2 linked regions of the Tribolium castaneum genome follow. The protein of the gene in region 1 interacts with the protein of each later gene in a pairwise test. Links are inferred from orthologs where the notes say so. Each region holds a gene or a part of one and is shown in the gene's direction. Other genes may lie near its edges.

Region 1 (5,449 bases):
AGCGCTTTACTGTCAAGTCATCACGACTTCACCGAGCCAGGATCACACTTACAGTGCCGCCGATTCGGTCGATCCCTTAGGCACGGACGAAGCGTTCGAAAGCGACGACGAAAGGTAATTTTTTTTTCCGAAAATTGCAAAACATTAATTTCTTATAGGACGTTTAGGGTCGTCAAGAGTCGCACGTGTCGCAAAATCGACTTTGAGGACGAGGAGGAGCGCAAGATTAAAGAAGGCGCAGAGACGCTTCTGAATTTGGCTGGGATAACGACAAGGAAGAGGTTCAACTCGCAAAGTTCGGACTACGAACCGTACAAAAGAATAAAACTGTCGCCGCAGTACGACATCAATGATAACGAGGCAACCGAGCGACCGACGCCCTTCAAACCGCGCCTTTTGCGAGCGAAGAAAAAAGAAGGTAAATCAAAAATGTTGTGTAATAACAACGATGAGTGGGTCAGACACCGGCGCGAACTGGAAATCAACCAGCATAGGTAATCAAACGCCCGGTAATTAGATGAATATAACGTAATTTTAACTAAGTTGAATTCTTCTAACGCTGTTATTGTAATTTTAATATATTTTATGTTTTTGTTTACATTTATGAAATATGAAGAGTAACTATGTTAGGATTGTTTTAGAAGTGTTACTGACTGAAAATTTTGATTTATGACGGTTCCACGGCAATTTTATTTCTGTTGCCGACTTAATTTTTTTTCAAATACTCCAGAGCCCGAACTGTTGTAACATTTCGCGTCAGGTTGATCACCAAATATTAATTTATTCTAGGAGTAATTTCCGCAAGATTTTATCGCTGATTGAAATTTTATCTAAATGAATTAATTTTATCACTGTTACCAAAGTAGGCTAACTAATCATTAAGTGGGGAAGTAATTTATATGTATATTGATTTTAGCTAATTCTGTTGTTTTATTTATTTATTTCCATATTTAAGCTGTTGATTTGTCTTAGATGCTCCACCGCGCTGAAATTCGCTGTATTTATCCTGAGTTGGGGCATTTTGGTGTTTGATATCTGGTCATTTCATTGAAAAGCAATAAACGTGTATCAGTGATAGGGAATAAGAAAAAATCATCTAGAATTTTCCTATTGCTACAAGTTGAGTTTATAATCATTGAAAGTAGGGTAGAGTAAATATATTTTTTCTATTTCCCGTGATACATACTGCTCTTCCTATTGTACATAAAGATCCGAAACAATCATAAATGTTTCAAAATGTGTGTGCGTTTCAAAGCTATTTTCCTATTACTCTTATCATTCAATTTCTCCAACTTTTCAAAAAGAGTTTTATTGTATTTTTGGCCGTCTTCCGAAATTGAATGAATAAGTGCGATACTTGATTTTGTTAGTTTAGAATGTGAGAATTCTAAATATCTTATAGCAATACCAGTTTTGCCTGATCTAGTAAATAATACTCTATGCTTTGCCAATATTCTTGGCTTTGGTATGTATTTTTAAGGTTCTATGTGCCAAATCGTTTTGTACTTTTATTGCAGTAATCACTACTGGCAATATTTTTTGGCGCCTGTCTTCCAATTTTATAAAATAGGTCTTCTGACATACTTTCCATATTTACATTTTTAGTAGGTTAGACTTTCGTTCAAATGTGTTCCATTAACAAACTATTAGTGTGCTTTTGACTTTTTCCTTATTTTCAAACGAACTTAACACTTGTTTGCGCATATTTTATTTTATTATTGTTATGACCATTTATTTGTACCTTTAGTTTATTCAAATAAATAAAACGGCTGATTTTAACCCGTCTTTTTTACCCCAAAATCCCTCATAGGAGGTCTTTTCGGTTCTCTCCCCAAATTAGCGATATTCACAATAAATTTCGTTAATTTAACACCAATAATTTGAGGTTACCTGTCACTTTGACAGATTATAAATTAGTGCGTTAGCCAGGTGTGCTAACATAAAATGCAACGAAGTTTAATTGAATTTTTAAAATTTATGTTGCGTTTTCACGGTATGTTTCTTTGATAATCATAAGTAAAATTTAAATTACAATAGGGCCAAGCACACTTAATAATAAATAAATGTAGACTGAAACCACTTTGCTACTCTGATGTGATAAATCAAAATTCCCTGATTTGGGGAATTTACACATCGGTATTATTATTATTGTTCGAATTTTTTAATTTATGAATTAATGAAGTGATGAGACTCAAAAAGAAGCATTTATTTTGCAAAAGTGACTATTTAATCAAAAATCGGCCGTAAAATGTTGACCCTTTTGAGCGAAATCCATTTCTGGAGCACCCAAGAAGACGTCATCGTAAAACATCCAGATTTTGGATCATTCAAGTACCCAAACCCCTCACAACCCCATAAAGCGAACTAAAAACCCTTATTCCAGATACTACTCTAAGAAAGATCCCAGCGACTCCCTCTGCTACCAAAGCAAAAAAAAGTACTGCGACCAACGAGGTGTCATCTGGCACTTGCCCAACAAACGTCCCCAAAAACTCCGCGACCGTCTCAAAGAACTCGAGGTTAGCTCACACACTCACCCTTTCACTCTCACTCATTCTTTCAATAGGAGTATCTCCTCCACAACAAAATCGTCTGTTTCTCTTGGTCCGACAACCACCTCCAACTCCTGCTCTCAACTGGGGTGGTCGTCACCCTCACCATCGACATCACCACAGGCGACCTCACAAGCCTCACTTTCGACAAATCCCTCGCCACCAAACTCCAAGTCAACATATTATGCGACGGTGTTATCCTCGGCCCCCAAATCATCTGCATTTGTAATGACGGCCACGTGCTCGGCTTCGGGGGCTCCTGGAAAGACGGCTGGATTGTCGAAGGGGGCCCTCGACGCCACCTGAACTTCCACAACGACTGGCTTGCCGTTTGGGGCAAATGCGAGGCCGAACACCCGCAGCCTTGGAGCCCCCTTGGCAAGGACTACCAACGGGCTAATCTACACCTGTACTGGGTGGGCGTCCGGGGGCCTGAACTCTTAGCGTACAAAAAAACCGACGGGGATCCCATTGAAGTGATCGTCAGTCGGACAATACGCCGAACTTTGTTCGTAATCGAACAGAAGGTGACTCTCAGGGGGGCTGTCTCAGTCGAGTTGAGCAATTTTGAGCTGGTTGGGGCCAATTTGAAACGGGTTTCGGTCATTTCGGTCCCACTTCAGACACAAGTCAGTTGCTGTGCCTTAAATGAGCAGGAAACTAGGCTCCTGATTGGTTGTATTGATGGGTCTTTGGCGTTATTGGACCGTGTCAGGGGGTCAACTCGGACGGTTAAAGGGTTGTTTATACCAAAGTTCGCACGTTGGAATTCTCTGGGAGCTGTTGTGACCGTTTTGAATGAAAGGGGGCAATTGCAGTATTTTGACACGGCTTTGAACGGCGTTAAGTCACAAATAATGGGGGAGGATTGCACCCCAACAGCTTTAATTGACTTATCCGGTTATTTCAATTCGCAATTTACGATCAGTTCGGTGAGTTGGGGCCCAAAAGACTTAGTCGTGGTTTTGGAGCAAGGCCCCATGTTACTCATCACTCACATTGACCGGTCTTTATCGTTCAAATCTCTCTCACAACGTTACATAAAAATGGGTAAAATTGATAAAGCCATTCGGCTTCTCCTAAGCTGGGAATTCAACGAGGAAAGTTTCCACGTGTTGCAAAAAATCGTCGCTTATTTACTCTCCCAGCCAATGACCGACGACACCGCCAAGTATCTCCAGGACGCCCTCGGGTGCTTCCACAGCCCCCCGGTGCCCCTGAACCCCGAGACCCGTTCCCGCTTCTTCACCCAAATTTTCTCGCTCACTCGTCGCTTTTTCCACCAGTTAGTCCGCGCCCAAATGTTCGAAACCGCCTTCCTCTTGGCTGTGGACCTAGGGCACCATGACCTCTTCATGGACTTGCACTACATCGCGGTGCAAATCGGCGAGACGGAGATGGCGGCTGCCGCCCGCGCCCAGGCCTCGGCCCTCCTGAGTCGCTGCTCCAGCGAGGCCTCGAACTGCACCAGGTCCTCGTGCTCCCAATGTTCGGGAAGTAGTGACGAAAACCCCGATAATTACCTCACAACTAACTTCAATAACCCCCAACCGAAGACCTACCCGAGAGCCACTTTCGTGAAGGCGCCGCAAGTGCCGGCGAATTTTAAAGCGCCCCCGTTGCCCAATTTGGGGATTCCCAGAAATGTGTTTAAGCCGCCGCTGCCCTCAACGGGGGCGGTTAAGAAGGTGCCCCCGAAAGTTAAGTTTTCTGATACGGTGACGGCGTTTATCGTGCCGGAGATTAAGCGGCCAGCGAGGCCGCCGCCGCCACCACATTTCACCGATCCGCAGAAAGAGTTGGCTGATAGTTTGCCGCTTTGTCACCCAAATGAGGATTATTTGAAGGATTTTAACCCTGTGAGGAGGAGGGAGAGCGAGGAAGCGCAACCCAAAATCAAAGTGGTGCATTTTGGGGTTGTTTAATTCTTTTAGAATAATTGAAGACAGTTTCCGTCCGTTAGAAGTACAAATAAATTACCCAAGGAGCCCCAGATTGTATTAAAATATATTTAACATGTTTTATCTGTGGAGGAACGAAATTTGATATGTATATTTAATTAATGAGTAGATTTTTTATTTTTTATAACTTCGTATTTTCGCAAATAAATATTTTTATTACAACATTATTGCATTTGTTTTCAACACAACAGAAGGACGAACCACTAGATTACGTGTGTGAACGCCTGTTTAACACTCATTTTATTTGAAAAATGAGACACTTTTTTACTAATTATTACTGAATACGTAAGGGCAGACATAAACGACGTCAGTGCTATTTTTGTTGTAGAAATGAAAATAGGCACAAAAATGAACTTCTCGTGCCAAACATTTTGATAAAAAAGGGCGTTTAATCATTTATACAGGGTGTTGGAGTTGGCATTTTGTTCTATGTTATCATTTCGTATTCGTTTGAAACAGAATTTAAGTGAAATGACTAACCTTAACGCTCATCACGTCCTTTTCAAAAGCGGCTTCCAGCACTTCTAGAACTTTCGATTTTGGTCGTTTTGGCACTAAATACACAAAACACTGCTTCTACAACGCGCAAAAACAAAACGACGCTCTAACACAAGCGTCTTTCTGACGCATGTCGCATGATGTCAAGCTAACGAAATGTTATTGGCTGGTTTGACCGAACGCGGGCGATTTGAAATTTGTGGTGAAATCTCTCCATTAAAAAATTGAAAATTGCAAAGATTACATCAAACTAGAGTTTGTTTGATTGAAAAAATGGATTTGTTCTTGCCATTTATTGAGAAATAATTGTATAAATTTTAATAAAAAAATATTTTGGAGAAAATACGTATAAAACATAATGAATTAATGAATTAAATACTGTTCATTGTTTTATTTACCACAATTTGTGCCCTTTTTATTTTTCTTCAATTAAACCGG
Region 2 (4,071 bases), on another chromosome or scaffold:
TATCTGTGGAGTGTACGTTACAACTTATTTTATTTTTATTTTATTTTATACGGCGTTTTGTTCCTTTCGAGAAGAATTTTTTTGTTTTTTTTATTTATAATTATTTATTTAATTCTCAAAAAATTTTGGTTTTGTTTCAAGCAATCCGAAACTGTCGCGCTTATTCTTGTACTCCTGCCTTGGTTTGGCGTTGTTTAAGATAGGGTTTAAATCATTTGTGCGGGTTCATTTCAAAATGAAACACTTTTTTTCACTCGGGGATTTTATTCAATATAAATATTGTAACAATATCGATAAATCGTCATTAACAAAAAACATAGGTATCGCAAAAGGCACAAAGTGAAGCATATTAATCAGTTAGGTAACGTATTAACAAAACTCATTAGTCACATCACTTTCCGTAACAAGTAGGTTTTTGGTAAGTCTTTGTATACTTGACGGACACCCGGAGGGTAGATGGTCTCATCTGATGCGGGGATGATCGGTTCCAAGGTTGATGCCACGTACCGAAAACAAAGAGTTATTATTAACATATTATTCTTAACTCGCACTTATAAAAATCTTAAATGCTACTTTAACGAAGATAATAAAGATTAAACAAAATATTGGTTTAATTGTAAGTATTTTTTGTTAGTTTTTTTCGCTGCGTGTTAAGAACTTTGTGGGGTTAATACTCTAAATACATTAAAAGCTCCTTTTTTTTCAAAATTAAACTTTTTTGTCTTGTTGTTGGTGAGTGTTGCAAGAGCATTTATGTAATAATACGCGCATTATTAACATAAATTCCCAAGCAAACTCATAGTTCCCTAACTTGACTCCCTGATAATTGCAACTAATCTTTTTCTCCCCACATATTTTATCAATCTCCTGAACGTCTTCCATTTATAGGGTGTACTTTTTCTCTGTTCTGAGGTTTTCTGAGAATTGTTTCGGGGCCCCGATCGTTATTTCAAGTTATTTCATATAATATTTTAGAAACACGGTTATTTTTTTTATTCAATTAAACACTCAAAATTTTAATGTAAATGTACTGTTAGGCACTCGAAAATAAACAACAAAATCTGAACAACGACGGGCTAAAGACACTGTGTAATAAATTAATGAATGAATTTTTGTTTCTGTGTAGTTGAATGCTGCAATACTATCTTGTTCAAATTTTAAGAAATTTTTAGAATTTGCTAGGATCGAAAGGCACCAAAATTAAACAAAATTTACAAAATTAAAAAGGGTACTTAAATTTTTTGTCCTCGGGGGCCTTCGGGGGTACCAACTCGGTTCACGCACTTCAACATTAGACTGGTTTCAACTTCTTCTCATATTTCTTCCAACCTGTCCACTTGTCGGCTTCAAAGTCACCAAAACTGCGTTCTGAAATTGGTCATTCTAGCACTGAAACAGTGGAAGAGAATTCTTACCATGCGTTCATTGGCTGGAGTCCTCCGGTTGTTTCGATTGTTCATTTTCAGGACCTCTTAGCTGTGATAATGGAAGCCGGCGGTTGCACAGAACCGGCTGAAGACAACATGGGCCCGGACGCTTTTTACGTGGAAGAGGCCCAAGCCACTTTGGCCCACATCCAAGAGCTGGGAATCCCCGAGCTTGCCGATCGGTGGATTTCGACAAATCCCGGGCCGCAGGTGACAATCCCCGAAACGTGCACCAAGCGCAAGTCGGATTTCTTGGACACTTTGAGCAAATCAGTGTCGCAACATAAGGAAGGCAGAAAACCGGAAGTGACTTCGATTTTGAAGCGGCGTAATTCGGACCAGAATGTTACGAATTCGAGCTCATTTTTCCTGGATGATCATTCGGATTCGGGGAGTCAGTGCGAGTCGAGGAGGAGTCGGTGCGATTCCGATGACTCGGATGATTACGGGGTGGGGGTGGCGTTTTTCTTCTGTTTTATTCGTGTTTGATGATTTCAGGATGGGAGTCAGATGAGCAACAGCAGCTTTGATATATCGGAGTTGAGGCAAACGATTTTGTCCGAAACTGGAGAGATACAGCCGAGACAATTGACGGCCGGGAAAGACAATGTTTTGTTCCATTTTATTCAGTTTGATGCAACTGAAGGCATCTTGATTGGTCCGCCTGAGTGTCGGCTCCAGTCGCAAACGATTGACGCGATTCTCGATTGTTTCAGAAACGCCTGTCATAAGTTTCATTCTTTGTTTCAAAATACGTTGCGATTCAAAGTATGCTTCAAGCGAGTTTAATTTTTTTTTAATGTCTTTTTTATAGAATATGCCAGCGCAAGACATGGCGAAATCAGTGATGAATAAGAGTTTGATTGCAATAAAAGAACATGGCGTTATGTTTGAATGTCCTTTTTTGGACGACATCGATAATAAGAAGAGTAACATAAAATACTGGGTCGTTGGAAGACTGTTTTATATGCCTCATCCAAGGGAGGTCTATGTCTGTTATCAGGAAAATATTCCACAAAATATCATCGAGTTGGCTTTTAAAATTGATTTAGACCTCGCGAAATGATTGGCTATGCTTCCCTCTTTCCTTTACTTTCCCTTAGTAAATTTTTTAAAACTCCTTTAATCTGGATGATGTGATGCTTCCTTTACACACACTAAACACATAATTTTAAAAATCCCGAACTCGAAAATTTATTTTACGTACTGATTAACTTTATCCGAACACTCCCGAGACAAAATAATTGAATTAAATTGCAAATATTTGTTGAAATAAAAACCTTGGCTTTCTTTTTAACTTAAAAAAATAAATTCAATTGAAACAAGTGATGGTAACTTCGTTTCTGTATCCCGTTTCCGCCGTTTCCGTTTCCGCTTTGTGAGTAGCTCTGCATCGAAATTTCGAAAACGGTGAAGATTTCGAAAATTTCGTGTAATTTAAAAATTAATTTTGAAAATATTGAAGGTCTCATGAATTTTTTTGAAAGGTATACAGAGGTACCCACGGTACTAGTGTCTCTGCTCTCTGTTTGCCTACAAGGGTTTCTGTTTCTGTATTCCGGTATCCGATTTCCATCCCATACTCATTTCAGAAAGCAATGCACAAATATGCAAATGAAAACTTAAGAAAGACCAAAATTTCTAATTAAAAAATATAATATTTTAGAAACACGGTTATTTTTTTTTTCAACTAAACACTCAAAATTTTAAAATTCACGCACTATCATAAAATATTAACTTCGTAATTTTTTCAAAACTTCTTTAATCTGGATGATGAGATGCTTCCTTTACACACACTAAACACATAATTTTAAAAATCCCGAACTCGAAAATTTTTCGTGCACTTTGAATGACTTTTCTTTCCTCTTTCCTTTACTTTCTCTTCGTAATTTCTTCAAAACTCCTTTAATCTGGATGATGAGATGCTTCCTTTACACACACTAAACACATAATTTTAAAAATCCCGAACTCGAAAATTTTTCATGCACTTTGAATAACTTTTCTTCCCTCTTTCCTTTACTTTCTCTTCGTAATTTCTTCAAAACTCCTTTAATCTGGATGATGAGATGCTTCCTTTACACACACTAAACACATAATTTTAAAAATCCCGAACTCGAAAATTTTTCGTGCACTTTGAATGACTTTTCTTTCCTCTTTCCTTTACTTTCTCTTCGTAATTTCTTCAAAACTCCTTTAATCTGGATGATGAGATGCTTCCTTTACACACACTAAACACATAATTTTAAAAATCCCGAACTCGAAAATTTTTCATGCGCTTTGAATGACTTTTCTTCCCTCTTTCCTTTACTTTCTCTTCGTAATTTCTTCAAAACTTCTTTAATCTGGATGATGAGATGCTTCCTTTACACACACTAAACACATAATTTTAAAAATCCCGAACTCGAAAATTTTTCATGCACTTTGAATGACTTTTCTTTCCTTTTTCCTTTACTTTCTCTTCGTAATTTCTTCAAAACTCCTTTAATCTGGATGATGAGATGCTTCCTTTACACACACTAAACACATAATTTTAAAAATCCCGAACTCGAAAATTTTTCATGCACTTTGAATAACTTTTCTTCCCTCTTTCCTTTACTTTCTCTTCGTAATTTCTTCAAAACTCCTTTAATCTGGATGATGAGAT

Evidence for each region. The genes of interacting proteins can lie anywhere in the genome.
Region 2: the proteins of frtz (region 1) and in interact in binary tests that used the Drosophila melanogaster proteins (3 or more experiments, as listed by UniProt). The link is inferred for Tribolium castaneum from reciprocal best matches to the Drosophila melanogaster genes frtz and in.

What each region holds. Positions count from the first base shown.
Region 1 is NC_087402.1:1,546,363-1,551,811, reverse strand, and holds frtz (WD repeat-containing and planar cell polarity effector protein fritz), read left to right. Parts: upstream 1-2,061; 5' UTR 2,062-2,248; coding exon 2,249-2,331; intron 2,332-2,383; coding exon 2,384-2,519; intron 2,520-2,566; coding exon 2,567-4,477; 3' UTR 4,478-4,677; downstream 4,678-5,449. Other genes in the region: forkhead box protein N3, read left to right, coding at 1-114, 159-498. UniProt on the Drosophila melanogaster protein: Probable effector of the planar cell polarity signaling pathway which regulates the septin cytoskeleton in both ciliogenesis and collective cell movements. Functions cell autonomously to regulate wing cell hair polarity and number.
Region 2 is NC_087397.1:2,692,782-2,696,852, reverse strand, and holds the end of in (protein inturned), read left to right. Parts: intron 1-1,466; coding exon 1,467-1,877; intron 1,878-1,925; coding exon 1,926-2,195; intron 2,196-2,241; coding exon 2,242-2,493; 3' UTR 2,494-2,753; downstream 2,754-4,071. UniProt on the Drosophila melanogaster protein: Plays a role in the definition of cell polarity via the planar cell polarity (PCP) cascade. Acts downstream of fuz and accumulates asymmetrically in wing cells to regulate planar polarity in the wing. Probably acts by regulating ciliogenesis.